5 linked regions of the Nothobranchius furzeri genome follow. The protein of the gene in region 3 binds, or shares a complex with, the protein of the main gene of each other region. Links are inferred from orthologs where the notes say so. Each region holds a gene or a part of one and is shown on either strand. Other genes may lie near its edges. The genes, in order: kat14, mbip, tada2a, dr1 and yeats2.

Region 1 (6,578 bases), on a different chromosome or scaffold from region 3:
CTACTGATCATAGGACTAATATCAAGTAATAACATTGTCATTTCACAGACTGATTGAACATTGGACTCACATTATTATTGGTAATAACAAAGTTGTTGATTATGTGTTTATCAAGAGTTCTTCATCCTCGTCTTGAGCTGTAACAGAGGTGAAGCAGGTCAGATGAGCAGAGTGCATGAAAGACCTTGGCCACTATCTCATGTAGATTAGCCTGTCAGAGACTTTATGTCTCTGCTCGAGCAGACGCAGCAGATCATGACCTTTAGGTCAAAAACAGGACATTCAGGATGCTACAACGGATACAGAAAAGTCCAAAAGCTTTGAAATAACATTAATTCCCAAGTTGGACCTGCTCACAGTGAGTTGCCGCCTTTTGTCACCGGTTCTGTGCAGAACCTTGGGCAGATTTTCTAGGTGCAGCCATGGAGTGGAGGGTGGCAGGAGGATCTTGTCTCTCCTAGCTACGTCAAACTTCAGCTCTTGACTGGGGTGAGGATCAGCACCTCTAGAAATGGTTCTCACATGGAGAAAGGCCTGGGTAAGGTCCCAGGTTCCACCCGAGGAGATGGAGGAGGTGACGGAGGAGGGGACCGATCAGGCTTCCCTGCTAGAATGCCATTGTGTAAAAACTTTACTAACAACTTAAAAGTTGTTTTCTTTGTGCGACGAGTAACGTCTAAAACGAGGTGAGCACAAGAAAAGTCCAACAACAGAAAAGTTTAATCAGCTGATCAACAACAACTCGTATGGATCTAGGTCTACGCAGCCTGGTGAACAGGGTGGAGGCGTCAGCGCCGCAGCCGCAGGAAGAAGGCGTGGCGGCACTCTGTGCTGTCCACAGGGTAATATTTATCATAGAAGTCCAAGATGTACTCCTCGGCCTTGAAGCCAAACTTCTGGTAGAGTAGCATGGCCGGATTCCTGGCCGACACGTGCAACGTCACGTCCTTCCCCATGCACGTCTGAAGGCACAACAGCTGTTAGGGTCCAGGCTTTCTCGTGTAAACTACCTGCCCGCCCCAACAGGACTCACCTGGATGAGATGGTAGATCATGAAAGTCCCGATGCCGGCCCGCCTCCACTCCGGATGGACCAGCAGGAAGGAGATGTAGGCTTCGTTGTACTTGACGTCTGGCACCATGAAACCAAAGCCAACCACCACCTTCTTATAGAGAACCACCACGCTAAAGTCTGGGTACTGCAGGCATTCAGACAGGTCCACACCTGCAGGAACACACCTGGAGGTTTGACTCGTGGTTGACAGGCGCAAGCAAAGGAGGGAGGCGGAGCCATGTTACCTGGCCAGAAAGTGTCTTGGCACATGGCGTTGACGGAGGGGATGTGGTAGGGACTGACGTAGCAGTAGTCAATGGGGGCGTCCGGTTCAGCGACCCAGTCTGGATCCTTCCTGTGGGGGTATGCTCTGATCTCCTCCAGCAACCTGAGCTTCACCGGGCGACTCTCGTAATCCCTCCTGTGGAGCACACAGCTTCTACGTGATACCTGGGCCTGGGCACCTCTGGAGCGCCACCTGTAAGGCTTTCGTACTCCAGCAGGTAAGACAAAGTTTTCAGACTGGCCTACCTGATGAACGGTTTCAGGAGGCGGGACGTGTACGGACTCTTGATGCTTTTGTCCAAACTGCCTTCAGCTCCCATCAGACGGTGCCAAAAGGACACGGAGCTGTGCTGGACACGCCTTCGGCTGGAGACGCTGGTCTGTAAACACACAGATGGGTTCAGAGACCAAAGCTGAATCTGAGCCGATGGTGTTAGCTTTCAAGGGAGAAACGGCACAAAAAGGTCAAAGGTCGAGTGAGAAACAGCTGGAACGTGCTGCTGATGTGAAATATGGATGTCTTCTAAAGGTTTGGAGTTGAGGAGACAAGCAGAGACCTGAAAACGATCCAGAATCCGCTGCTCCTGGCGGCTGCTGCAGTATTTCTTCTTAGCCCCGCCTTCCACATGTGCCCCCGCCTCCTGCGCATCATAGATGCCTCCCACCAGGCTGAGGGTGGCGCTGATTGCTCGGTCAACGTCTAGCAGGGGGAGCCCTCTCTGGCGTTTGGTCTGGCGGACCAGCAGCTTCCTGTGGAGGCGTTTGGCATGTGGAGTGACGGCCAGCGCCAGCGGGCAGGCGTCCAGCCGCAGCAGCAGCAGCCGCTCCTCGTACAGGCTGAGCGGGACCAGGCCCGGATCCCGAAGGACAGCCACTTCGTTAGATTTCTCAGGATGAGTCGCCCTCCGCCGCTCGGCTGCTCTGACGCCAACCGGACCCCGGCAGGAAAGAGTCGGGGCCTCTGCCGGCTCTTCCAGGGAGTCCTCGTTCTGGTGGCCATCATCGTCTTCACTCTCAGCTTCCCGTTTGATGTGGGATGGCGCCGCTGGGCGGAGCTTCTTACGGCCAACATGGCTGGTGCTAGCAGGAGGGATGTACTCCACCCCTGGGTCAATCATCCCTTCAATCTCATCGTCATCTGAAAGAGGGAGGCAGACAGGAGATGACATCACAGCTGACACCACAGCCCAGCACGAGGATGAAATGACTCACCGTGGAATAATGCCTGTGGCGGCATGGCGTCCGGAATTAGGTCCGCCTCCGAAAGAAGGCTGGGTGTGGCTGAATGAGAGGCAGGCGTTCCCGGAGCGGAGAAGTCGGGCGATGGAGACAGAGATGGGCTGGTGAGCGGTGTTCGGTCCGAGGAGCTGAGGGATGAGAACTCGATGACCTCGCCTTTTTCCAGGACCACCTCAGACCGGCGACTGGCACCCCCACCGCGGCCTCCGCTTAGCTTAACGGGAGTGGAGGAGGAGCTGCGGTCAACGTAGCCTCCCACTGCCTCCTTCTGGGCTCGGCGGATGTCTTTGGCCTCTTGTGTGCGGCAACGCTTCTCCTTCAGCTGCATGGCGTTCTCCACCGGGTTCCTGGCTCCACGTTTCCTCAGACCTTCCACCGTAATAATCGGGTCCATCACCGGTTTAGAGACTGTGAGTGAACGACACAATGGATCAGTGGGCGGAGCTTTCTCACCTGAACATAACTGTGACAATGCATCTCACCTTTGACCTTAGCGATGGATTTGTCCCCATCCGGTCTCAAGGTGGGAGGTCTGTTCTGGACCAGCTTCCACCAGCCTGGTTCTCCAAACTCCTGCGCACCAGAGCGGAAGAAGGTGGGACTTCCGACAGAAAGGCAGCCAGCGACTGTGCTCCACCACGTTGACGTCTTCTTCCTGCAAACATCATTAGCATCTTCACTGATCCGAGTTAAAGATTCAGCAGAACTTGTGATGATTCTTTCAACGGGATCGATCGGGGCTGGGATGTTTCCTGGCCCTGGAAACCCATCTTCCCTCCATCATCTGTGCAACTGTGGATGTTTAAAGTGGGTCAAACAGCTCAGGTTTGAAAGGGAAGCCTTAAACTCTGATTGGCCAGGGTCTCCGGCATGACTTCTAACTCACCTGTTCCCCAGCAGGAAGTTCCAGTGGCGGCCAATGAAAGCGCAGATGTCCTCCTTCCACCTGAAGTAACCCTGCCGGCCTGTCCCCTCCAGAGACAGGTTGTACATGGCCAGCATCACCACCTGAACACAGGATGTTCCTGTTTAACAAGCAGGAAGTGTGTGTGTGTGTGTGTGTGTGTGTGTGTGGTACCTGCCCTGCTGAGTCTGGGTCATACCTGCTGCCAGGTGAGCCTCATCCTCTCAAAGCTCTCCTTCCTGTCCTCAGAGCACTCGGAGCAGAAGAACTTAAAGAAGTTGTCTCCTTTCAGGTAACTGGGCTGGTCACCGTGGAGCTCAGCTGGACCAGAACCGGGTCAGAAAGACAAAACCCTTTAGGATCGCAGCAACCACACACACACACACACACACGGTCCTCCATGCTGTGCTGTGACTGGCTGACCTGCAGGGATCCACTTGTGGCAACGTTCGCAGTAGAAGGACATGTCCTCACAGGCCCAGCCTCCATCCGTCTCCTCGCCCACGTCGCTGGTCAGAGAGTCCCCGCTCTGGTCGTGGGACAGGTCTACGGAGCCCTGGTCCTCAGACTCTACGATCAGCAGAGTCTCCCCCTCTACCTCGCCCTCCTCCAGACCCTCAGAGGCGGATGTTCCAGCCGCCTCGTCCTCTGCCGCTGCCAGCTGCTCACTGCTGCTGTCCATCTCTGGGCACCTGTGGAGGTTACATGGGTCAGAGAGGCACTCTCTTATTTGTCCATCCAGAAGACCCATGTGGACATTTCAGATACAACAATAGGTTCAAACTGGATCAAACCAGACAGAGAAGTTCTGGTCCTTCATGTCATCTTTGTTCTATACAAGCAAACACAGCTGAATGACCATGTTTCCTGACCTGCCTCAGGTGTCCTGTGACTGAAGCCTCTCCTCTCCTCTCCTCCGCTCCTCCTCCAGGTGTCTGGTCAGAATCCTCTGCTCTTCCAGTAGCCTCAGGTTCTCTTTCTTCCTCTCCACCCGCTCCAGATCCTGAACCACACCCTCACGCAGCCTCTGCAGGGTCATTAAAAACAACACGTGACAACAGGCCCTGCTGCGGAGTCACGTCGGCTTTAATCTGAACCCAAGTGCAAGATAAAAGGGCCTACAAGAGACTCAGAACCATAAGCACAAAGAGGCTCCTCCTGCAGAGCAGAAGTAACACAAATATGGGTCCGTTTCTCACATAGTTCGGGTCTAGATTCTGGCTGGACCGCTGCACCTTGGTTCTGTTGTTGATCTGCTGCTGTGTTGTCACAGACTCGTGTGTGTGTGTGTGTGTGTGTTAGATATCAGGATGCTGGACTCCTGTGGAACCGGCCCAGGCCATTAGCCCTCCACCACCATGTTGACAGCTGGGGTATGAGCTGTTTGTGCAACAGTGAATTATGGGTAATCATCTCACATCCGGGACATTGTGAGCTGCCAGCCAGTTTATTTCTATCACTTCCTTACAGGAAAATTATTTACGCTGGTTTTGGGTCAGAGGTCAGGTTAAATGTCCTGTAGTTCGGTTGCTGCTGGACCGGCTCGATTCGCACACTTACCTCTCGATCCCAGGCCTGGTTTAAATGGACCGCTGCCACGGTACCCAGCGTCAGAAGCACAGAAACACCCAGAACCACTTTGGAGGCTGCCGACATCACGTTGGGTCTGACTTCAGTTAGCCAGATGCTAACAGGCTCCTCGTCTGCACTACCGGAAGTTATTCTTCTTCTTCTGTTTATTTTCACTCCCATGAGCCACAGCGGCCCCTGCTGGTGGGGAAATGAGCTGCAGGCAGCCATCGTTGAAGGTTTCTTGGTAACAGAACAAAAAAAGATGGTTGTGGTGCTTTTTCAGCATTTTTTATGACGTTTTACCTTTTTTCGGCTAAACATTTATGCGACGCAGGCTGAGAATGTACATTAGTATGTGCACATAGTTTTGGAAACCAACGTTTTCTTTTTATTCGTTGTTTTTAGTGGTTGGAGTTTACAATAATAACGTATGGCCAAGGTGTGTTTACCTGTAATCTGATCATTTCCTTCTTTATTTTCTTTAAGTGGAGCAAGTGAATTTCCCCTCTGTGGGATTATTAAAGTCTATTCCATTCTATTCCAAGATAGGACCTGTTTCTCTCTCAATGAGGAAAAGGAAATTTCAGTGTTCATGTGTGTAAATCTCTTATCATTTATTTCATTAGTGTAAATGGTTCAGAAGTAGCTAGTTTGTTAACTAAAGTTTTGGAAAATCACCCTGACCGGAAAGTTGGAGAGGAGCGATGATCTTAGCAGTGAGGAGAAATGTAAAACACGAAGAAAAAACCGGAATCATGCAGCTTAAAGTCTTGAATCAAGATTGAAATGAGCAGAAATGGTCAAAGTTTGAGGAGCAGAAACGTTGGTTTTAAATCTAAAAGAATTAAAAGGTTTTTCAGTGTATTTGAATTTTGCAGAAAGAATTATAAAAAAAAACACAAAGAGCTGAGCTTAAAGAGCAAGTCTCCCCCAAATAAACTTTTTTTGCTGATAAACTAAATAAACGAGTGTCTAATCGTGCTACAGACACGTGTCGTCAATAATTTGGCACTTCAGTGCATCTTAGTTAAAATTTAAATATTCTGCCTAAAACTGTCAGTGTTGTGCCGTTGTCAGGTAAAAACTCTGCACTGTATTTGAATTTAAATCTGCCACCACTATTGGCTAAGAGGTATGCTATGATGTCATCTGGTACATTATGATGTCACAATGCTGTCCTGAGCCTGTGTGTGTGTGTGTATTTGTTAGCAGCTCCGCCCTCTCGGTCTGCCAGGCAACAGCATTTGTTGCATTTTTCAAACATGAAGTGGGAGTGGAGTAAGACTCTGGTAGGGGGTGACTTGCTCTTTAACGTTTTGATTTAAAATTAGACTTAGAAAACCTGCAGAACTAGAAGTCATGCAACAATGCTGCAGCAGCAGGATAACATAGAAGCGGTCCCTGGGACGTTCCTGCAGGTCTGACGCACGACCTGGTCACCCGTAACCACACAGGGCGTCTCTGCAGATGGGAGCCAGTTTTATTGATCATGGAACATAAATAGGACAAATGTTTCACTGAACAT
Region 2 (6,632 bases), on a different chromosome or scaffold from region 3:
CAATAGCAGCTAGCTTAAGGTTGATCAGTGGACTCAGTAGTCTCCTCTAAAAAGCAGCTGAAAACTCACCTGTTCAAGCTTTTGTGTGACCTCCAGATGATTTTTCCTCACTAGCTTCTATTCCTGCTGCTACCTCTACCAAATCGGCCTTTCTCATGATCCCATGATTACCTTTTTTTGTTCATTTTTTTTCTTCCTTCACATGTTTTGATCATTTTTTTCTTTTTTCTCAATTTTTTATGATATTTTTACCTTTTGTTTTTTGTTCTTGTGAAGCACCTTGTGATTTTTATTTTGAGAGGCGCTATATAAAAAATTGTTTCTTCTGTTTCTTCTTCTTCTTCTTCTTTAAACTATCCTAATTCAGAACTTTTATATAAACGCATCCATGTTGAAGTTCAAACCAACAACAGCAGTTCCTTCTGAAAATGTTTTGATACGAACACCAGAGCAAATCAATCATGAGCAAATAATGTCTACAGAAGGGGACTCAGGACACACAACTTCTGTTTGAAAAGATTAGGTTAATTTTCACGTTTGTATTTAGTTTCTCACACTTTACATGTTCTAGTACCTCTTCTGCTGTGTTTGGTGTAATTCATTTATTTTCCTGTATTTATTTATCCTTTACACTAAAGTGGGCCAAACCATTTTGTCACCACATTTGCATTTTCACTGTTGCATCTATTAATCACTGAAAAATCTCACCTATTGAAGCTATTTTCACTTTTATTCAAACGTACAAGGATTGTGGAAAAACCCTCGGCTCTGCACTGATTAACATATTGTTCCTATGTTTTGTTATGCTTGACATGCACGTTCCTGGGCTATCATAATAATGTCTGTTCTATGTTTCATTTTGTTTTTATTGCTGAAAATTGGGTCTTATGTGTGTGTTTGAATTGCTGAAGGAAATAAAGATGTAGACTGAAGCTGCATTCTTTGACTGCTGCTGACCGAGTCATATGTAAAAGTATTCGCATATAAAAAAAAGGCTGTTTTCAAATAAATACATCACCAAATTTGGACTGTCTGGTATTTATTTGCACATATGCAAATGAAAAATACATTTAGCTAAATGGTTGTTTATGTTCAATTGATGGCACGACCTGGAAATTCCCGATTAAAACATGCAATTACAAAGTATTGGTATTTAATTTAATATATGATGATGTAAGTATTACCTCTTCTGTTCTTTATGATTTTTCAACTAACAAGATAGTGAAAGATCAAGTCAGACCCTTAGCTAATGAGCATCTGCAATTTGGCTTCAAAAGTTAAATTCAACCAAAATGCTCTAAGTATTTTCCAAGAAGTACCTTAAATCACATATACAGCTCATTAAAAGGGTAAAAAAAATTACAGCTCTTGGGTCTGCAGCCAGGCAAATTAAATGAGCAGTGTATTTAATTTCAGAGCTCCTCGCTGTGTGGGAACATTTAGCAACTGCTCAGCATGTCAAACCATGTCAAGTGTTACAGTTCTCTTCCTGTTTCACGGGAAAAAATATCACCCTACAAATGAATTAAGCTAAAAAGGCTTATCTTCAGAGCCCTTCCTAAAATGATTAACCTTTCTAAAGAGCATTATTGAGTTCTGAGTGCATGGTTGTGCCGTCTCTTTGCCTGTAATTGTTCTTTTTCTGTTGTTTCCTTCATCAGTCTCTCTCTTCATTATATGAAAAGAAGTGAAAAATGTCTGAATAGAGAAGGGAGATTTTCCCACAGTCACTCAACTCAGAGAAATACACCATTGTGGGCAGGTTCCCATCCCAATGCCCTGCTGCTTGGTCCTCTGCAGTAAGAAGCACAGTGTGCTTATAATAAGGAGCCATTCTTTGTGCTGTTTGAGAAGCAGGTGAATGAAAACGTAGGCAAATGTGGCTTGGACATGTCAGTCAGTATTGTAAAAATGTAGACAAGTCCATTTAAACCAAGATTTAAAAAAGAGTTTAAGTCATAAAGCACCTCAAAAATCAGCACAATAAAAACATTAGTAGTTTTTTAAGAATAAAACTTATTTTATATGCTTTATACAAATAAGACATGACCTTATGAGCATCCTCTGAGAAAAGGCAAACAAATATACTGAACCTAAATAATATGTCCATTTCAAAAGTTAAAACATTTTCTGTTTATTTTTCTCTGCTGTTTTTTAAACTATTGTTTACTTTTTTGTTATACTGAAACATATTTCACAATTTTAAGCATCTGTACTAGTTTATTAAATAGTTTAAATTAGTAAAAGTTGACTTTTGCTTTCTGAATGAGCCTTCTAGAAATTAAATCTCCACAAACAAAAACAAAAGCATCTTTCTACCTATGATGAGCCCTCTTTAGGATCAAACAAAAAAAACTATACAGGTTTTTTAATGTTTCAGAATCTATTTAAAGATCAAAATTCTGAGCAAAACACAGTAAATCATTTATTTTTGTGCTTTGAATTTACTTTCATGCGCTACTGTTAATGCGCATGCGTCATTTTAGCCTGCAGTTCCACCAACCACGTGATTAAAATCACCGTCTCGCAACCAATGAGCACGCAGTATTCCATGAGTTTGAGTAGCAATGGCGGAGACAACGAAGCTAAGTGAGAGCAAAGCTCCTCCCAGCGAACCAGCTAAAATGTCCAGTTACAAACACTGCATGGACGCAATACTGGGGCTGCTTTCAGACTTTGGGAAAGAGGTTGGTGTGAAATGATTCAGCTGCTTCGCTCCGAATAGTCATTCCAGTCTGAGTAGTTTCCTAGCGGTGTGCTAATGTTTTTAGCAACTAGCCTCGTCGGTTCATGTTCATTCACTGTCCGTTAATCAAGTTTTTGCCGTAGGAAAGCGTCAGCTCGATGGTTTATATCTAAATTAACAGATTCAGTTTTAATATTTGTATTTCTGTGCAATAAAAACATGTCCAGACTTTTGTGTCACACGTCAGTTTAGGTTCAAATCACGCTTATTTTCATTTACCCTCTTTTTCCATATAGTAAACGTTCACGGTTTTTGGCATTTTTACGCAGTATTATGTAATTTTTGGTCCTGCAGGTAAACGTTTATTGATGCCACTGTCCACAACGCATTTCTACCTTAGAAAATATATTTAACCTTGCTCTATTTCCCCCCGTGTTTACGTCTAAATTATTAAAATTGCTGGATGCTTTAGCTCTTTTCATACCCAGGGCTTCTAAAGGGACATTAAATATATGTATTCAGTCTTATATACACTGTTTTTTTTTGCTAAATAATGGTTTAGTTTTTCTAGCACAGCAGAAAGGTTCAGTGTAAAACAATAAGATTATTTAATTTGACCGTTTATAGAAGCAAATTATGAAAAATTGCTTCTTTTTTAATTACCAAATTGTTGGTTAAATTACTTAAATTATTTAGCATTTTCTGCCTCTACTATTTTGAACTATATATTTTTTATTTAGCTGTGGTGATGTGTACTTGATGAAACTCTTGTTTATTTTCTCTCAAAGCTGAAATTAGGGGATGCTGCTTTGAGAATAGAGGTCAACCCTGGAGCTGTAGTACTTTCGTCATCTTCAGAAGCAGGTGTTTATGGCTGTGTACAGCAGCACATTGCTAAGTTGCAGGTAAGACATTCACCCGTTGGTTAATTTATGTTACATATGACTGCAATATCTAATAAGTGCCACATTTACAGTATAATTGATGGTCACTAGTGTTGTAATTAAAGAAATAATAACACTAATTTATAATGTGTTTGTAGCAGTCAGTGTTCTTTCTGTTTGGCTGTAGGCTGTTTCAGAAAGCCTGAGGTCACTGGTGGAAGCTGATGTTACATCTGTGAAGGAAGACACGGCGGATAACATTGTCACGTCACTATCATCCGAGCACCGGCGTCACAGCTCAGAGGCTGCAGACTGCGGGTCTTCGGGCGATGACGTCATGGTTCAGATCCGAGCCGGGAAGTCAGAGGTTGGTCATTGTCAACAGATCTGTCAGCTGTTCTGGCACTGATATTTTAGAGCCCTTCACACTCTGTCAAGCAAATGAATAATCATAAGTAATTGGTTCCAAGGATGTGCACATGATGTGCAGCAAATGCTTGATGGAGTTCTGATACTGGGTTTGACAGAGAATAAAGGGTTCTGTAGTGCTGTGGTGGGGTAGAATGGACCACATTGCTGGAGGGGTTTGAGAGAGGGCCAGGTCCTTGATGGATTATGAAGTGGATGCTCATTACTCTGAGATTGCATGTGGATGAAGGACAAGAGGCCCCATTCTGTTGTGCATTTATTTTGGTAGCCAGGCAAACCGTATTCTTATTCCATCACATGATGACGATAATCTATTCAACTGTTTGGGCTATCTGGAATAATTTCTCTCACTGTGTTTGATATTTTTTGAAACCATAAATCGCTGAACTTTGTTTACTCTAAATCAGTAAAAATAAGTCGACAAAACATTGAATTCTTCACAGCTATCAGTGGCTCATCAACCCGTTGTGTCTTATTATCTGTCTTCTCTGTAACTCCAGATCGAGCGAAGAATATCTGCATTTATGGAATGCAAGCAGATGGAGATCAATGAAAACAATGTGCGCGAGTTTTGCAACGTGATCGACTGCAATCAGGGTGAGAACGGAGGAGAGATTGGGGGGCAGGGTGGAGAGGGAGGCTGCACACAGATTGCCAATGTTTGGGAGAGAGCTGATTTCCACAGGCGAGAGGTCAGGCTGAACTGCTCCAAGAGTGGGCCTGAAGTAGCTAACACACTCGGCCTTGAAACGCAACCTGCTCTGGCCAGAAAAACACCAGACACACAGGCTGTTTGAAATTCAAAGCTTGTGTGTGACGCCAGTAATGGAAATCAGACGAAGTTGCAGTTCAAGTGTGGTGTATTCATTTCTAATGTTTTTTTTTATGACTATTTTCTTCTTACATTTAGAAAGTCTAATTACACTTTTGTTTTGGATTTGATTCCTTTGTAGAAAACAGCTGTGCCAGGACGGACGCCGTGTTCACTCCTTACCCAGGCTTTAAAAGCCACATTAAAGGTAAGAAAAGGGGACTCTTTGTTGCTCTTACGTTCAAAAATACACTCATCATCACTAGCTAAATTATTTTTGTTAACAATTTGGTAACAAGCATCATGGATGCTGTGTGATTTCTGTAATGTGCATCATTTAAAATTTGGTTGGTTCATCCGAGTCTGTGATTATTCTTTGGTTGATCAGTTTCACGAGTGGTAAACACTTACGGGCCCCAGACTCGTGGCGGGGGGCGCCAGGGAGAGGCTGCAGAGCATCATAGGGGGGCAGCTGCAAGAGACTGTGGAAATGCAGCCATAGAGGAGCGACTTCAGAACATGGAGACTCACCTGAAACTGCCGTCAGGTGAGAGAAGAGAGACAAGTGATGCGTCACACATCCTGAATAAAACTGTACAATACAAATAATATAGATATTGTGACATGATGAGCACCTTTTTTTATAAAATATCAACAAGAACATAAATTCTTGATGTTTTTCTTAAGTCACACAAAAAAGAGTTAATCACACTCAAAGATGCACGGATTCTAATTTTTATGGCCGATACTGATTTCTGAGTTTTCACTACTCTAACCAACCAATGATAGTGATGGTGTGTTCATGGACTAGGAAAAAAAAAACAGATTTTATTTTTTTTGTCTTTAACTTGAACAAACTGGGGGAAAATCTGATTCTCAGGTGCTGGGTTGACTGATCACCTTGTCATGTTGAATATTGGCTGATTTAAAACACCAGATGATAACTACGTACATATTTTTGGGGAGAATCTTGTCACACGATGATTTCTCTCCCTATTTTCTGGGTTTTGTTTTAGTCCTTTTTTTCCCAGTCTGGTGTATGGAACATATTATATTTATGTTTTATTCCTCAGTGGGTCCGGTTCCTCTGACCGTCTACCAGCGACTGAAGACGTTGGAGGATCGAATCCTGGAGCTGGAGGGACTCTCTCCTGAGTACTTTCAGTCCACGGTGAGTCTTCTGGATTAAACACACAAAGCTTTTTCAGATAACATTACAGCACAGAGATCTGCATTAGAAACTAAACTTAAATGATGACAGTTCACATAATGTAGTTCAATGCAAATTCAACCAGTGCTCTCTTAGATTTTTATTCTGTGCAAATCTTCATCTTGGAGCACTTTTAGCCTCCCCTGACGTTCACAGATATTACCTCTAAAGCAGTTTGCTTCCATTTCTCCGTAACTTTTACTTCATTGGTCATTTTTTGTAAAAGACGATGTCTGGACCGCCCTTTAGGTGGTTTAACTTATGTGAGTTATTTGTTTTTGAATGTGATAATGTGGGAATGAGGGAGATATATAGTACATTGATGCAACATTCCTGAAGCAAATTTTAAGTCTGAACAGGTTTTAGGTTTAGAGACAACAACAGGTGATCTTGAGCTTCTATGGTAATAAGTAGTTAGAATATCTGCTGTTTTAGGTAGAGTCCACTGAACTGCTACACTTATGTGAGAAGTTTTAGTTATATTTGAGTCACACGAGGTATTTGATGTAACTACAAAAAAGTTTAAACTATTGCAAAGTTTCTTGTTTCAGTTTAAGTATTCTAATTACCTTCCTGAGCTTTTCTTTGGTTTGCTGTTTTATTTTCATCTGG
Region 3 (5,895 bases):
GCATGACGTGGCATACCAGATGCGCACAAAGACTAAAGAGGAATGTGAGAGCCACTACATGAAGAATTTCATCAATAATCCACTCTTTTCCTCCACGCTGCTCGGCCTGCGGAAAACAAAAGACTCCCACTTTGCAGATGGGGCGATCCCGTTTAGATGTGAGAAATCTGCATTTATTTATTTCTCAATTTTTTTTCTATTTACAAAAGAAATACAATTTTCATTTTTGCTTATTTTTCTGGCTAAATATCTCATTAACCACCACACTCTGAAACAGCTGGGTCATTTTTTGGAATCAGCATTGTTCAGGATGGCCGTCACAGTCAAGCAGCCTTAGCAAACACTGTGATGGCATCAATTCAGCCAGCTGAATGGATATTGAGCTAAAATGAGCTGAAACACGAGTGATCCTGAAATGCTGTATGAGACTGTCGTAATGTCATATTCAAGATTTGACCAAAATGCCTTTAAAGGTAGAGAAGAGTTGACCCTGTGTTTAAAAAAACACAATTCAAAGGTCCAGCCAGCACTCTTTTACTGGCTCCTGCTCCTAAGCTACACCTCCAGAATACACGATGCTAACATCCATAAGAAACACAACATCAATTCAATTCAATTCAATTAAAAAATACTTTATTAATCCCAGAGGGAAATTGATTGCTGTAGTAGCTCATAATAATAATAATAATAATAATAATAATAACAGGGCATCCGCGGGTCCTTAAAAAGTCTTAAATTAGCTTTTCCAAATTTAAGGCCTTAAAAATCCATAAAAATGACAAAAATCCTTAAATACAGTTTCCAAAGGTCTTAAATTACCAACGACCCAATAAACAAGATTCTTTTATTTCTATAAAATGTTCGTGAATTTCTAGTTCAGCATTTTTTTGTATGATATTGGCGTAAGCGGAACCAAATTCAGTTGGTTGTGAAAGGGGGCTATTTTTAGATGAGCACATTAGCTGGTTAAGCTAGTGGGAGCTTGCGCCATGGGGAAGTGCAAGTTTAATGGTAACTGGATGGCTAATCCCACATTCGCGTCGTGGTTAGCACCGGTTCCAGGCAATAGCTGGAATTTATAGCTCAAATTTCATTTTAAAAAATTGCTTAAATTTGGTCAAAGTGGCCTTAAAAAAGGTCTTAAAAAGTCTTAAATTTGGCTCCCTTAAACCTGCAGATACTCTGAATAATCAAGTCATCAAAGAGTTGTTGTATATTACAATGGCTGTTGGCAGGAAGGATCTCCAGTAGCGGTCAGTGTTGCAGCCAAACTGAAGAAGCCTCTGACTGAAGACACTCTTCCGTTGTCGGACAGTCTTGTGAAGAGAATGCTCAGGGTTGTCCATCATGTTCTTGATTCTCTGGAGAATCCTTCTTTGCATTATCTCCTCCAGCGGTTCCACAGTCGTCCCCAGAACAGAACCAGCCTTTGTTATTAGGCCGTTGAGCCTTTTCAGGTCCCTGCTTCTGATGCTGCTACCCCAACAGACGATGGCTGAAGAGATTACACTCTCAACAACAGACTTGTAGAAGACCTGCAGCATCTTGCTATAGACATTGAAGGACCTAAGCGTCCTCAAGAAGTGCAGTCTGCTGTGTCCCTTCTTGTAAACGGCTTGGCTGTTCTTTCTCCAGTCCAGTCTGTTGTCTAGGTGAACTCCAAGGTATTTGTATTCCTCAACCACCTCCACTTCTTTTCCCATGATGGAAACAGTGTTTGACTCCACCCTGTTTCTTCTGAAGTCTAAAATCATCTCCTTTGTTTTGTTCACGTTCAAGGTCAGATGATTGTTTCCACACCATGCCACAAAGCGCTCCACCAGCTCTCTGTACTCAGCTTCCTGTCCATCTCTGATACACCCGACTATCTTACCTTTCCAACCCCGTTGTGACGTTTTATGTCTTAATTCCCAACGCAACGCACTGATGTAACAGCCGCCAAGCCTCCAGGCTTCTGATGGACTCGCCGTTGTCCGGTGCTCTCCAGACTCTCTCAAGTTAAAGTTTTAGAGAGAGAAGCCACTGGAACCTAGATCGCTTGAATCACGCAATCTCTGCTCAGAGCAGCTGAACAGGAAGTGAAGCCAGAGCTGGGCTAGCCACATTAGTTAGCCCTTCTGAGTATGTACACGTCGCTAACCTCGGTCCATAGGAGCTGAGAATGTCGCAAGAGCCAATAACCACTCACTGGTGAACAGTTAAAGTAATAACAGGTGCACATAAACAAACAGGTAACTTTTTAACCTTCTTCCCAAATAAATTGTCCTTCGAAAACAGTCCAATTCAAGCTAGCTAACACCAGATACGACAATGTATTTATCCACCTATCAGCTTCCTGTGTACGACTCACCTTTACTTGTCATCTAGAATCTTCTGGTGCTGATCCGTGGCGGGAAACAGCCTTGAAACCCAAAATCAGTAGTGAAAAAGTGAGTTGTTAAGGGCTGCAGTTACAAAGTTAGACCACAGGATGTCGTAGTTACTTCAGGCTTCATCACAGAACTTTTGAATGGCCTGTATTTGATAAAGCGCCTTCTAGAGTCCTGGAACCCCCCAAGGCGCTTTACAACACAATCAGTCATTCACCCATTCACACACCCATTCACACACGGGTGGGGATGAGCTACGATGTAGCCACAGCTGCCCTGGGGCGCACTGACAGAGGCGAGGCTGCCGAGCACTGGCGCCACCGGACCCTCCGACCACCACCAGCAGGCAGCGTGGGTTAAGTGTCTTGCCCAAGGACACAACGACAGCAACAGACTGAGTGGGACTCGAACCTGCAACCTTTTGATTACGGGGCGAGCACTTAACTCCTGTGCCATCGTCGCCCCACACTTTTCAAAGGTCTCGGGTCATTTCTGATTTGTGTAGCTTTTAAGCAGCCAGGTGTTCCGAATTTAAGTTCTCCAGGTTTACCAGTTAAGTGTGAAAGTGACCCGGCAGAGAGTCGGACCCTCCACCTGTCAGAGCAGGTCGGTTCTGGTGTTGCTCGCATGCAGCGGGTAGATTTAAGCTTCCTGGTCATTAATGTGTTAAAGAGGAAGTTTGATTTTGGTTTTCCTCTGATCCCGCAGCCTCCGACGACCCGCCCCGGCCCACGTTCGACTCCATGCTGTCTCGGGACATGGCGGGCTACATGCCGGCCAGAGCGGACTTCATGGAGGTGTGTGTGTGTGTGTGTGTGTGTGTGTGTGTGCGTGTGTGTGACCTGCAAGAATAAACCATCAGAGTCGCCACTAGGGGGCTGGAGATGAACCCTCATTGAAACAGTGACTCATACCTTTGTTGTTGCCTCTCTGAGACCCGTTTCTCATAAATTGTTGATCGTCGCTCGGTGCAGACGAGCAGATTGTGAAAACCCTTTTCATGTCTCTCTCAGGAGTTCGACAACTATGCAGAATGGGACCTGAAGGACATTGACTTTGTGGACGATGACTCAGATATCCTGCGTGGTGCGTAGGACTTTTGTTTTTAGTATTTTTATTTTTCCGTCTGATTGACCTTCAGGTGGCTGACTTTACTTTTCCATGTGGTGTTTGCTTCTCTCACAGCCCTCAAGCTCGCTGTCGTTGATATTTATCATTCAAGATTAAAAGAGAGACAAAGAAGGAAGAAGTGGGTGAATTGTATTATTTGTGATAGAAGAAAGTACTCATTAACCTGTAATAACCTCCATCTTTCAGCAGATGGCGCCATACGCCTGAGAAATCACCCCCAGGTCTCTTAAGCTCTCTGGTTTAATTAATGACATTTATGCTCATTCTAAAGTACAAAGCAAACAGTTTCGTCTCCCTCTGAGCTCAGCTCCAACATTAATGATGCTGATGTGTTTATATCACCTAAAGAGGTGTTTGTTTTGTTAAAAGCTCATTTAGGACCAACGTCCTGCGAGGCTGTGCTAGCCAGAATCAGTTTCTTCAGTCGCTACAGAACACGGAGTGGTTCACGCTCAGCTGGTGGTCATTTTTAGAAAGAAGGAAATTGTGTCACTTTGTAAAAAGTCCCATAGAATGTTCTCCGTGTTGGAGGGAAAAGATTTCAACTCCCAGAGACCGAGGATGTTTTCTTTTAAACGACAGCCATCAGAAAACCCTCACACAGCTGTTTGAGTGTGCCCATCAAAAACGGTTTTCCTGAGAGTTTTTACTCTCCAGCAACCAAAGTTAAATCAGTCAAGTCAGCGTTTTCTGAAACTGTGGCCCTCAGGCTGGGATCGCTGGACCTCCAGGGGACCACCAGCCTTAAAAGGGCATTATGGAAGTGTGACAGCCAAAACATGTATAGAAATAATAAATGTCTTCTTCATACATTCTCCTGCAATGCCCTGGTCCTGTAGAATGAGCCCTGGCATTTTTACTGTGATTGCCTGTTTTTCTGTAAAATCACAGAAAAAGAGAGATGCTCGGGTCGAGCAGGCTGCTTCATGCGCGTTCACGCTCAGGCATCGCCCGTAGCATTTGCTATCTGTAGCTTTAGCAGCAGAGAGAGAGGCAGTGCCACTTTGTCGCTGTTCCTAACGCCTAGTGACAAAGCTAGCTACATTTCTGAGGACCCTTAGCTACTTTCTGTAGAACTTTCTTCTAGATATTTCCTGCAAATTAGCAACAAAACAGCCATTTTCACTCCGAACCGTTCTTTGAACATTGTTTCAGCTGTCATCAAGGATATAAATGTTACAGATACCAAGGACGTCACTGGAGACAGCTCACCTAGTAAGACATCGGACTCTCGTGTAGAAGACCTGGGTTTGATTCTGGATGTGAACACAGTTTATTTAAAGTTCATTTTTTACATTAATTGTATTTTTTTTTACAGTAAGAGGCCCAAATTTTTATTTGAGACTTGCCGAACGGCATTGAATTCACAGATAAAAAAGATCTGGGTTCAAATTTCATTTTGGAACAATTTTTCAAGCAAGGGAAGGGAATGATCTGAGCATGCAGGAGGACTGACCCATCTTAAACCTTTGTCGGCTGTGCTGAAGAGAAAGGTACAGAACCACATTATTTAATTAATTAGCTGCGTGTTCTCCTGTCCTCCGGGCCACACACACACACACACACACACACACACACACACACACACACACACACACACACACACACATGGGGCTGTCTCACCTGTTATTTTTGTTAAGGAGTGTGCACGTACAGCTTGTGCGCCTCGTGCACGAGCCTCCTATTGAAGCTGCAGTTATGCTTTTGGCCTGAGGGGGCAATCGCGAGCATAAAAATTCAAAACTCCATAAAGTCCCTTTAAGTTGTGGGTCTGTGGGACCTGAAGCTTGTCCTGGGGTGGACACATGCAGTGGTGTGAAAAACTATTTGCCCCCTTCCTGATTTCTTATTCTTTTGCATGTTTGTCACACAAAATGTTTCTGATCATCAAACACATTTAACCGTTAGTCAAAGATAACACAAGTAAACACAAAAAGCAGTTTTGAAATGATGGTTTTTATTATTTAGGGAGAGAACGAGATCCAAACCTACATTGCCCTGTGTTGAAAAAGTAATGGCCCCCCCTTTTTAAAAAATAACCCAACTGTGGTGTTTCACACCTGAGGTCAATTTCTGTAGCCACCCCCAAGCCTGATTGGGTGTGGTTAAAATATTCTGCATGTGACCATATTATGGTGGTTCTTGGGTCGTGATGATGGGGCCCTTGAATATTGTTGCCCAGGGTACAACAGAGTGTTAATCTGGCCCTGGCTGCAGTGAAGCTTCATCAGGTTAATAATGGGATTAAAGTGGTTTCAGATGATTGGTTCAGATGTAAAACGATCCTGGTGGCTGCATCAGCCTCTGCGTTATTAAGAAGTATAATAAAATAATAATAAAAGAGACACCTGCTAGTGTGAGACAGGAACATCCACCAGCGTCTCACCTCCACAGC
Region 4 (5,164 bases), on a different chromosome or scaffold from region 3:
GTTTATTCAAAAAATAACATTCCTCAATTTATATTGCAAAAGTTAAATGTTAAGAATTAAGTGTGTAAAGTGCTTAAACCTTTCAAGTATCAGCATTTTTTTAAACGTGCATACAAAAACTGGTGAAAGTTAACACTTTAAATCATGAATTGTCCCACTATATATACACTATTTGCAGAGTGATGTTTTGCTGCTTAAACTCTGTTTAAGGTGCATTTTTGTCATAAGATGTAATGCCATATGTTTTGTTCTGTACTTTTGAACAACTCTGTTGGTCAATAAAGGGAGAAAACTAATTTCTCCTCAGTAGGACAAAGGTACATCTACCGGTAATCTTAATAAAAACAGACCAGCGCACGGCAGTGACGTCATTAAAAGCGCCGGTTAGATTAGCCGCGGCTAGTCTGTTTACGCCTAGAAATCCCAGACCCGCTCCAAACGAACAGGGGAATCACGTTAATGATTCCTAACAAAACCTTTCGACATTGAGATGTTTTGGTGCAGATAATGTCTTATTTCGAGGCTGCACCATGGGTGCCCGTCCGCACCCGTTATACGGATATACACTGACGGCGATTCGCCGATGGATCTACGGTAAATACCCCGGGGAATCCAAGTAGCACCAAAGTTGTCAGCATGAGTAAACAAACGTACTGCATGCTAGAAATTAAGTCCGGGTTGCAATAAACGGGAGTTTCCTTTAAGCACATAAGCGTGAATATACAACTACTTGTCGGACTTGGTATGCTAATTAAGTTGGGCTGTGAAGCGCCTCCCAAATTCGCTGTTTTTGTTTATTTTTTTTGGCAGACAAAACTTGGATCGGAGACAACTCGCGTGGGAAATTGCAATGTAGCAATGCGGCGTCTTCTTCTTCTGTTTGTCTGGGAGGCGGAGGCTGCTTTACGGCATCTGGCTGTCGTGCGTGTCGGTGTACTTGAAGAAGGCTGTGTATAATAGTCCATAATATCGATACCACAGGGATGGAATATCTAATTTAGATACCACTTTTAGCATCGATTTATATCTGGGTATTGATTTTTTTGACAACTCTACTGCCTTCTCCAGGTCAGGGATGAGGTCCTGCCCCAAGTGGAGGAGTTTGAGTATCTTGGGGTCTTGTTCACGAGTGAGGGAAACATGGAGCGAGATCGACTGGTGGATTGGTGCTGCATCCGCAGTGATGCGGGCGCTATACCAGTCTGTTGTGGTGAAGATAGAGCTGAGCTGGAAGGCAAAGCTCTCAGTTTACCAATTGATCTATGTTCCTACCCTCACCTATGGTCACAAGCTTTGGTTAGTGACCAAAAGAATGAGATCGCGAATACAAGCAGCCAAAATGAGTTTTCTCCGCAGAGTGGCTGGACTGTCCCTTAGAGATAGGGTGAGAAGCTCGGTCATTCGGGAGGGGCTCGGCGTAGATCCTCTGCTCATCCACGTTGAGAGAAGCAGTTGAGTTGGTTCGGGTATCTGGTTAGGGTGCCTCCTGGCTGCCTCCCTGGTCAGGTTTTCCAGGCACATCCAACTGGGAGGAGACCCAGAGGAAGACCCAGGGCACGCTGGAGGGACTATGTCTCTCAGCTGGCCAGGGAACGCCTTGGGATTCCCCTGGAGGAGCTGGGGAGAAGGAAGTCTGGGCCTCTCTGCTTAGGCTGCTGCCCCCGCAACCCGAATCCAGATAAGCGGCTGAAAATAGATGGATAGATGGAAAATTATTGCTTTTCCTGATTTGTTTTTCTGTATAAAGAAAAAAAAAATCCTAACTAAAAGCTGAAATATAGGCCTGCACGATATTGATCAATATTGCTGTTTCACTGCGCCTAATATTATCTCAAAGGATTTTAATAAGTTGCTGACACTAACTTTTGACTATCAGAGGTTTCCACTCCCATAATGGCCCTCGATCAGCACACCATGTTCTGTATGAATCTTTATGAATGAACATGGAGTTTCTGTTGCTGCTGTTCATTCATTTATTTTTACTAAATCTGACCAGTAACTAAACTTAAACATTCTGCAAATTTACACCTTTACCTAAGCTTTGCTTTAAAGTAAACACTGAAATGTGGTTTCATTTTAGTTATAAAATGTTCTAACTGATCGTTATGTCATGTAAAACATCTCTTTGATGGCTTTACGTATGCACAGTCCTCAGGAAAAATAAAAAGCTCTTCTTGCTTCTCTCTGGTTCTGTGGGCCGCGTGGCTGCAGGCCCGGCAACAACAGGCAGAACTCGCCCAGCAGGAGTGGTTGCAGGTGCAGCAGGCTGCCCAGCAGGCACAGATGGCGGCCGCATCTGCCAGTGCAGCCCAGCAGGCTGGTTCCTCTCAGGATGAAGATGAGGAGGATGACCTGTGAACTCCGGATGTGGGTACATGTTCGGACTTTGTCCTGGGACACTGCTGGCACACGTATCTTCCAGCGTTCTCGTTGGCGGAGACGTCTTTGAGCGCTGAAAATAAGCACATTTGAAGAGAACAGTGAAAGAGGAATGGGCCCCATCCAGATCCTAGTTCCTGGAAACGATTTGGATTGAATGGCTGAGTTTTGTGTTAACCTTATGTTCCCCATATAAGTTACTTATGTGAAATGAGCTCTTTGATGTTCTGTTGTGATTGGATTTGTAGTTGTGAACACACTGAGAGCAGATACTGGGACGCGTCAGCGACTCAAGCGTCAAGTCTCTGCTCCTTCAGGTACATCACAGACGCCCAGTCCTCAGTCGGTGGTTTAGATGAACTCGTTTCTCTTTATTTGATTATTGGTGGTCACTTTTACAGGAAAGATTTTGTTTTCTCCCTTAGCATTTTTGTTCAGACAGTGAATTTGTTTGAGGCATTGTGAATATTGAATTTGTTTCGTTATGTAGAGAAATAAATAGACCTTTTTTTTTTATTTTAGCTTGTTCTGATATTTGTCATTTTGTTCTTCCTTAGAACCGCCCACAGTATTGGTAATTAGCTGCAAAGTTGAGCAAATTAAACTTTTATCTCATAGAACCAAAGATGGAGGACAGACTTACTGCTCAGACTTTGTTTTTAAAAGTGTAGGTGCTACCGTGATACTTACTGCTGACTCCAGATCAGTGTAAATGATGTGAGGAACCTTGTGAGATGCTTTTGTGTTCAGGCTGAAATGATTTCCATTTTCCTCTGGAGCAGTATCTAAATATCTTTATTGTGACTTTGGTCAGCCCTCAGCGTTAAAAAAAAACAAGTTGTGAAACAGTCATTTGTTATTCTACAAAGTTGTATTCTTTAAGCAATAAAGAAGTGTTTTTATAGGTCAGTGTTCCATGTTTGCTTTAAATACTCATAATAAATACTTTATTGTTTACATAGCTGAATGTGCTAACAGCACAATCACACAAAAATGATCAATGGAAATCAAATTTATCAACCCAAGAAGGTCACACTCAAAAGTAAAGTTGATACACACTACAGGCAAATCCACCTTTGATATAATGTAAATGCCCTGTATTTGATATAGTGCCTTCTAGAATAGTGATGGGAATTCCAGCTCTTTTTAGAGAGCCGGTTCTTTTGGCTCAGCTCACCAAAAAGAGCCGGCTCCCAAGTGGCTCCTCAGATTTTCTGTTGCGTAGAGTACATTTATAACCAAAATAATGCTAAACTATATGTAAAATAATTTACTAATGTAAAAAAAGCAATATATCAATTGTTTATAATTTCTATGGATTTAATAACTGAACACTTTAAGAAATCTCCACTTTCCGACTGCTGGCGCTCATTTTCTCACCGTCTTCGTCGCACTCTCCTCTCTCTCGCTCGCCTTTTCCCTCCTCCTCATTCCCTCTCGTCTACCTCCACCCGCATGTGCTCTGCTGTGTGTCTGAGTCTGATCCTCCCTCTTCCCCGCCCCTACTGCTCTGTGTGTGGACGGTCTGGACACACAGTTCCACATGTTGACCAATCGCCTGTAGCTTTCACCAAGGCAGGGGGCGAGGGGGTAGGGGACGAGCCGGCTCCCGTCGTTCACTTCAAAGAGCCGGTTCATTCGCGACCGACACATCACTATTCTGGAGCCCCCCTAGGTGCTTTACGACACAATCAGTCATTCACACATTCAAACGCAGGTGGGGATTACCTACGATGTAGCCACAGCTGCCCTGGGGCACACTGACTGAGGCGAGGCTGCCAAGCACAGGCGCCACCGGTCCCTCTGACCACCACCAGCAGGCAAGGGGGGTTAAGTGTCTTGCCCAAGGACACAACAGTGACAGACTGAGGGGGCTCGATCCTGCAACCTTCCAATTACAGGGCGAGCACTTAACTCCTGATCTACCGTCACCCAATGTCCTTCAAACCAGTCAGAATGAGGCTTGGTAGTGTGTCTGGCCTCCATGCGTCTGTATGACCTCCCTACATCACCTGGGTATGCTCTTGAGGTGGTGGATGGTCTCCTGAGTGATCTCCTAGTTCTGAACTAAAACATCCGCCAAATCCTGGACAATCTGGTGCAACGTGGCATACGTGCTGTCCCACATGCGCTCAGTTGCATTCAGGTCTGGGTAATGGACAGGCCAGTCCATGGCATCAACAACTAGGTTTCCATTACCAGAACTTCAGGGTAGATTTACAGGAACCTCCTGACATGCACGTGTCTCCACTTGACCAGGCCGTTTTCAGGAACCTTCTGAGTAACTGATCAGGGGTAAGTACTCCGAACGGCCTGGTGGAGCAGCTGAGCGAAACCTCTGGTTACCTCATACTGATTGGTTGAAACCCAGTTGGAAATGACATCAGCAGGCTGGTAAAATTAGGAGAGTTGCTGGTGAAGCAGAATGGAAGCATAGGAAAATAAGCGTCGATCGTGCTTAAAATCTAACTCCTGACACCATAAAACATGGTGGAATTCCCCCCGCAATCAACGAGGCTTTGTTGTCTCACAGAGCGCTGTAAAATATGACACTTCTTCTGGTCATTGAACACCACATTTTACGTCACACAGCTGCTCTCATCCTCAGAGTGGATGCATTTTTTATATACTTCAATAGAATAAAGGCTTGTAATGTTATTGTTACTGCGGACGCTTTTTGGCGACATTGCTCACTGCCAAAGCAGTCGTGATATGCTGACGTCTGTGCAAAGTTTTGAAAGGGCTGAATTTGAATGGAGACAACAGCTGTGTGTACTGGGACATC
Region 5 (4,904 bases), on a different chromosome or scaffold from region 3:
TGTTGATTTGTGATGAAATAGTTCAGAGTAATAATCTTTTATACAAGTCTAAATATGTTTGTGATTCCTAATAACATTTATCTCCCCCACATATACACATCTGCTGTCGCTCTCCGCTGCCACAGTGAAAACAGAACCAGGTGCCGTCGCAGCTGGTCCGTCGCCCCTGGCGACGGCTGCTGCTCCAGCCCCTGTCCATGTTGCTTCTGCAGCCACCACCGTCAAACAGGAACAAGGCACAGATAACTCAGCACACTGCCTCATTAAGTAAGAGCAACGCCGCTGTCTCTTTAAACACAAATGCAGATGATGTTCTGATGTTAATCCAAAGCTCTTTCCTCTCAGCACTGAGCACATCGAAACCATGATGCAGCTGCTGACGGCTGTGGTGAAGAAGTTTCCTCTAATTGTGCCAGAAAAAAGTAAATACAATTAGATTTCATATTTATAAACCGACTGAAGACACTCTTTAAATGTAACGCTGCTTTATTTTTACATAGCTGAAGACTCCCATCCCTTTTGTGCCTCCTCAGTAGAACAGTATTATTCTTGGAACATTGGCAAACGCAGAGCGTCAGAGGTAACCTTTTGATTTTGTTTTGATGAAATCTTATGTCCACCTCTCACCGTTATCTTCAGTTTTACTCGTCTTCATGCTGTACTAGCCTCGTGTTTCATCAACATAGTAAATGATTCATTGCTGTTCTTGTGGAGAAGAGAAGTATGACCGTGTTTTTACTCACTTTGATGGAGTACACGACGTGATGATTCGCCGCGGCTGCAGTTTTGCATTTTAATCCGTCTTCCAGCTGCATCTCTTCTCTCTCTAGTTGGATGTGTGTTTCTGCCACATCATCTCTTTGACTAATACTGTATTCTGAGCCGTATGTGGGATACCGTGAATATTAATGCTTATTCATGCATGTTGCTAAATAGTTTAAGCAGCGAGGGTCTACAATGCTTAAACTTTGTGATCGGACTCTTCCGAGTTAAAATGAGCTGATCTTTGGCCGTCTCTGTAGCTTCAGAGAGCGGTGGCGGTGAAGCGTCTGGTTCAGGACGTGCTGGACCGCTCGCCCCGCCTGCAGGCCCTGACGCCCCCGAAGACCAAGGAGGTGGTGCAGTGGTGCCGGCAGAGGGGCTACACGCCTCCCGACCCTGAACCTCAACACAGAAACGAAGACGAGTCAATCGAGGACATTCTCACGCAAATCGACAGCGAGCCTGGTAAGTTTTGTTTTTGTGAACGAGTCCTCTGTAGGGAGACCTGCTGGGCGAGTTTTTGTGTGTGTGTGTTTTGGATTTCAGCAGCTCTGTACAGCTCTTCTGCAGTTACCGCTTGATACAGTGATGTGTATGTGGTTGTGAGGGCGGCCGGTGTGCAGCCTTGGTGCTTTTGTTCAGCTGAAATCCGTTTTGGTCCTTTGTCTCTAAAAGGTGAGAGACGAGGACTCTCTATGAGTCACTCGCCTGAGCCAGACAACGTTTCTGTCTTGCGAATCTTGCTTTATGTTGCACAACTGTAATATTCTTTAGTGAATGTTAGGCTGTCCTGCTTTAATAAAATTATGGATTTGTTCATCAGAGTGCCCGTCGACCCTAAGCAACTATGAGGAGCTGGTGCAGAGGCTGGAGCAGATGCAAGCTCTGCTAAAAACCGAACCAGAGGAGGCAGATGACGAAATAGTCGACATTGTTACCGTGACTCCGCCCTGCCAGAGGCTAAAGGTCAAAGAGGAGGAGCAGGAAACAGATGTGGAGCCGAAATTTTATCTGGGTCCCTGCATCTCCTCCCAGTTTGTCAGTGAAACAGCTCAGCAGGTCAGTGAGCTCTGTGTGTGTTCCTAAGTTTCATCGGTTCTGCTCTCTTTGCTAAAGGTGTTTTGTGTCTTTTAGATCGGGGTAAGCTTTCAGCCGGTGGAGGTGGAGAAGAATGTTTTTGCTCCTGTAGTGGAGGCCATGATTCTCAAGGTCAGTGACTTTAATGAGGTTTACAGGGGCTGATTTTATCTCGGTTTTAATCAGTGAGTCGGGATTTTTTAAGGAAGTGTTTAGTTTTTATGTGGAGGAACAGAAGATAGGGTTTTTTTTCCCCAGAATTGGTGAAATTAAAGAAATTCAATTAAAGACTTTGTGTGTGTGCGTGTGTGTGCACGTGTGTGTGTGTGTGTGTGTGTGTGTGTGTGTGTGTGTGTGTGTGTGTGTGTGTGTGTGTGCGTGCGTGCGTGTGTGTGTGTGTGTCTGCGTACTGCAGGCTACACAGCAGTTTGCCAGTGATATCCTGAGAGAAGCTCTAGCTGGAGCCCACGCTAAATCCTCTCCAAACAGGTTTGTTATTTTTCATGCTGCACATCCTTTCTGTTTCTTTGACATCTCCAGGCTGTTGGTTTCACGCTTTATTGTTCTTTGCTCTTTTTAACTATTTGACTTCATGTTCTTACTAGTTATTTATTGACACTTACCTCCATATTTGCAGGCAATCATTTCAGTCCCAGATTAGAATAAAGTCATCAGTGGCTCTTAGTTTTTGGGTCTATTTGCATATTTATGAGTGACCAAAGTCTAATTTTAATTAGATGTGTTTGTCATAGTTACATATATATAGATATCTATATAAACACATGCTTTGGATTAATGGTGCTATGATTCTAGTGATTGTTGCTGCGGCAGTTGATTTGCAGCCACAGGCATTCTCCTGCAGGGAGAAATACTCGCAAAAGTATTAAATGTGTATAAATCTAAAGCCAACAGTACTTTAATACTACAGGTGCTGGCCAGTAAATTAGAATATCATCAAAAGGTTGAAAATATTTCAGTAATTCCATTCAAAACGTGAAACTTGTACATTATATTCATGCAATGCACACAGACCAATGTATTTCCAATGTTCATTACATTTAAATTTGATATTCATAAGTGACAACTAATGAAAACTCCAAATTTGGTATCTCAAAAAATTAGAATATTCTGAAAAGGCTGAATATAGAAGACACCTGCTGCCACTCTAATCAGCTGATTTACTCAAAACACCTGCAAAGGCCTTTAAAAGGTCCCTCAGTCTTGTTTTGAAGGCACCACAATCATGGGGAAGACTTCTGACTTAACAGCTGTCCAAAAGACAATCATTGACACCTTGCACAAGGAGGGCAAGACACAAAAGGTGATTGCTAAAGAAGCTGGCTGTTCGCAGAGCTCTGTGTCCAAGCACATTAACAGACAGGCGAAGGGACGGAAAAAATGTGGTAGAAAAAAGTGTACAAGCTCTAGGGATAACCGCACCCTGCAGAGAATTGTGACGACAAACCCATTCAAAAATGTGGGGGAGATCCACAAAGAGTGGACTGCAGCTGGAGTCAGCGCTTCAAGAACCACCACGAGGAGACTCATGAAAGACATGGGATTCAGGTGTTGCATTCCGTGTGTCAAGCCACTCTTGAACAAGAAACAGCGCAAGAAGCGTCTCGCCTGGGCCAAGGACAAAAAGGACTGGACTGATGCTGAGTGGTCCAAAGTTATGTTTTCTGATGAAAGCAAGTTCTGCATTTCCTTTGGAAATCAAGGACCCAGAGTCTGGAGGACGAGCGGAGAAGCACAGAATCCACGTTGCATGAGGTCCAGTGTAAAGTTTCCACCGTCAGTGATGGTGTGGGGTGCCATGTCATCTGCCGGTGTTGGCCCACTCTGTTTCCTGAGGTCCAGGGTCAATGCAGCCGTCTACCAGGAAGTTTTAGAGCACTTCATGCTTCCTGCTGCTGACCAACTTTATGGGGATGCAGACTTCACCTTTCAACAGGACTTGGCACCTGCACACAGTGCCAAAACCACCAGCACCTGGTTCAAGGACCATGGTATCCCTGTCCTTGATTGGCCAGCAAACTCGCCTGACCTTAACCCCATAGAAAATCTATGGGGTATTGTGAAGCGGAGGATGCAATACGCTAGACCCAACAATGCAGAGGAGCTGAAGACGACTATCAGAGCAACCTGGGCTCTCATAACACCTGAGCAGTGCCACAGACTGATCGAGTCCATGCCACGCCGCATTACTGCAGTTATTGAGGCAAAAGGAGCCCCGACTAAGTATTGAGTGCTATACATGCACATTCTTTTCATGTTCATTCTTTTCAGTTGGCCAACATTAGAGAAACAAACATTTTTTCATTGGCCTTTAGAATATTCTAATTTTCTGAGATACCAGATTTGATGTTTTCATTGGTTGTCACCTATAAATATCAAAATTAAACGTAATAAACATCGGAAATACATTGGTCTGTGTGCATTGCATGAATATAATGTACAAGTTTCACGTTTTGAATGGAATTACTGAAATATTTTCAACCTTTTGATGATATTCTAATTTACTGGCCAGCACCTGTATAGTTATGACCTAGATGATCAATGTTTGCTACAGTTAGGCATCAATAAAATCATCTGTCCTGGCCTGCATAATATTTATTTATCTATTAACGTATATTTAAAGAGGAGTAGCCCCATGAGATGTGCCATCTCGTTGTCGTGAGGGTCCTCTTTAACAAGATAAGCTACCACCATGTACAATAAATAAAAACGAGAAATATTTGCTAAATAATAATAATAAATATAGAGAATAAATATCAAAAACATTTACCAAACACACATCTTCACACTCGGACCAGCTCCATGGTTCACCCAACCCCCACCAAATTTCCAGCATCACATTACAATAAAATGTAAGTTAAGCATCAAACACAGTGTTGTATATGACGAACACCATAAACACTAACAAAATGTTAATAACACTACTACAAAGGCCAGAAAAAGTGTATAACTCTAACACAAAATGGTAATAAATAAATAAGTTAATAAACTAAAATGAGTTACATTTACAAGTGCTGGTACTCTGTAGGTATGTTGGAATTGCCTTT

The links.
Region 1: tada2a (region 3) and kat14 share a complex: the UniProt entries of both Homo sapiens proteins name them as parts of the ADA2A-containing complex. The link is inferred for Nothobranchius furzeri from reciprocal best matches to the Homo sapiens genes TADA2A and KAT14.
Region 2: tada2a (region 3) and mbip share a complex: the UniProt entries of both Homo sapiens proteins name them as parts of the ADA2A-containing complex. The link is inferred for Nothobranchius furzeri from reciprocal best matches to the Homo sapiens genes TADA2A and MBIP.
Region 4: tada2a (region 3) and dr1 share a complex: the UniProt entries of both Homo sapiens proteins name them as parts of the ADA2A-containing complex. The link is inferred for Nothobranchius furzeri from reciprocal best matches to the Homo sapiens genes TADA2A and DR1.
Region 5: tada2a (region 3) and yeats2 share a complex: the UniProt entries of both Homo sapiens proteins name them as parts of the ADA2A-containing complex. The link is inferred for Nothobranchius furzeri from reciprocal best matches to the Homo sapiens genes TADA2A and YEATS2.

Annotation. Positions count from the first base shown.
Region 1 is NC_091746.1:29,632,138-29,638,715, reverse strand, and holds kat14 (cysteine-rich protein 2-binding protein), read right to left. Parts: upstream 4,164-6,578; coding exon 3,905-4,163; intron 3,803-3,904; coding exon 3,681-3,802; intron 3,586-3,680; coding exon 3,464-3,585; intron 3,233-3,463; coding exon 3,060-3,232; intron 2,986-3,059; coding exon 2,551-2,985; intron 2,477-2,550; coding exon 1,896-2,476; intron 1,719-1,895; coding exon 1,585-1,718; intron 1,475-1,584; coding exon 1,299-1,474; intron 1,225-1,298; coding exon 1,034-1,224; intron 963-1,033; coding exon 789-962; 3' UTR 698-788; downstream 1-697. Other genes in the region: protein PET117 homolog, mitochondrial, read right to left, coding at 4,359-4,508, 5,042-5,281. UniProt on the Homo sapiens protein: Component of the ATAC complex, a complex with histone acetyltransferase activity on histones H3 and H4. May function as a scaffold for the ATAC complex to promote ATAC complex stability. Has also weak histone acetyltransferase activity toward histone H4.
Region 2 is NC_091758.1:21,135,373-21,142,004, reverse strand, and holds the start of mbip (MAP3K12-binding inhibitory protein 1), read left to right. Parts: upstream 1-2,528; 5' UTR 2,529-2,567; coding exon 2,568-2,687; intron 2,688-3,474; coding exon 3,475-3,591; intron 3,592-3,757; coding exon 3,758-3,937; intron 3,938-4,499; coding exon 4,500-4,596; intron 4,597-4,952; coding exon 4,953-5,018; intron 5,019-5,198; coding exon 5,199-5,357; intron 5,358-5,883; coding exon 5,884-5,981; intron 5,982-6,632. UniProt on the Homo sapiens protein: Inhibits the MAP3K12 activity to induce the activation of the JNK/SAPK pathway. Component of the ATAC complex, a complex with histone acetyltransferase activity on histones H3 and H4.
Region 3 is NC_091753.1:55,048,796-55,054,690, forward strand, and holds part of tada2a (transcriptional adapter 2-alpha), read left to right. Parts: coding exon 1-158; intron 159-3,077; coding exon 3,078-3,166; intron 3,167-3,382; coding exon 3,383-3,455; intron 3,456-3,554; coding exon 3,555-3,618; intron 3,619-5,895. UniProt on the Homo sapiens protein: Component of the ATAC complex, a complex with histone acetyltransferase activity on histones H3 and H4. Required for the function of some acidic activation domains, which activate transcription from a distant site. Binds double-stranded DNA.
Region 4 is NC_091756.1:58,160,322-58,165,485, reverse strand, and holds the end of dr1 (protein Dr1), read left to right. Parts: intron 1-2,211; coding exon 2,212-2,358; 3' UTR 2,359-3,283; downstream 3,284-5,164. UniProt on the Homo sapiens protein: The association of the DR1/DRAP1 heterodimer with TBP results in a functional repression of both activated and basal transcription of class II genes.
Region 5 is NC_091751.1:55,948,393-55,953,296, forward strand, and holds part of yeats2 (YEATS domain-containing protein 2), read left to right. Parts: intron 1-125; coding exon 126-267; intron 268-345; coding exon 346-422; intron 423-500; coding exon 501-580; intron 581-1,022; coding exon 1,023-1,227; intron 1,228-1,585; coding exon 1,586-1,821; intron 1,822-1,896; coding exon 1,897-1,971; intron 1,972-2,254; coding exon 2,255-2,328; intron 2,329-4,904. UniProt on the Homo sapiens protein: Chromatin reader component of the ATAC complex, a complex with histone acetyltransferase activity on histones H3 and H4. YEATS2 specifically recognizes and binds histone H3 crotonylated at 'Lys-27' (H3K27cr).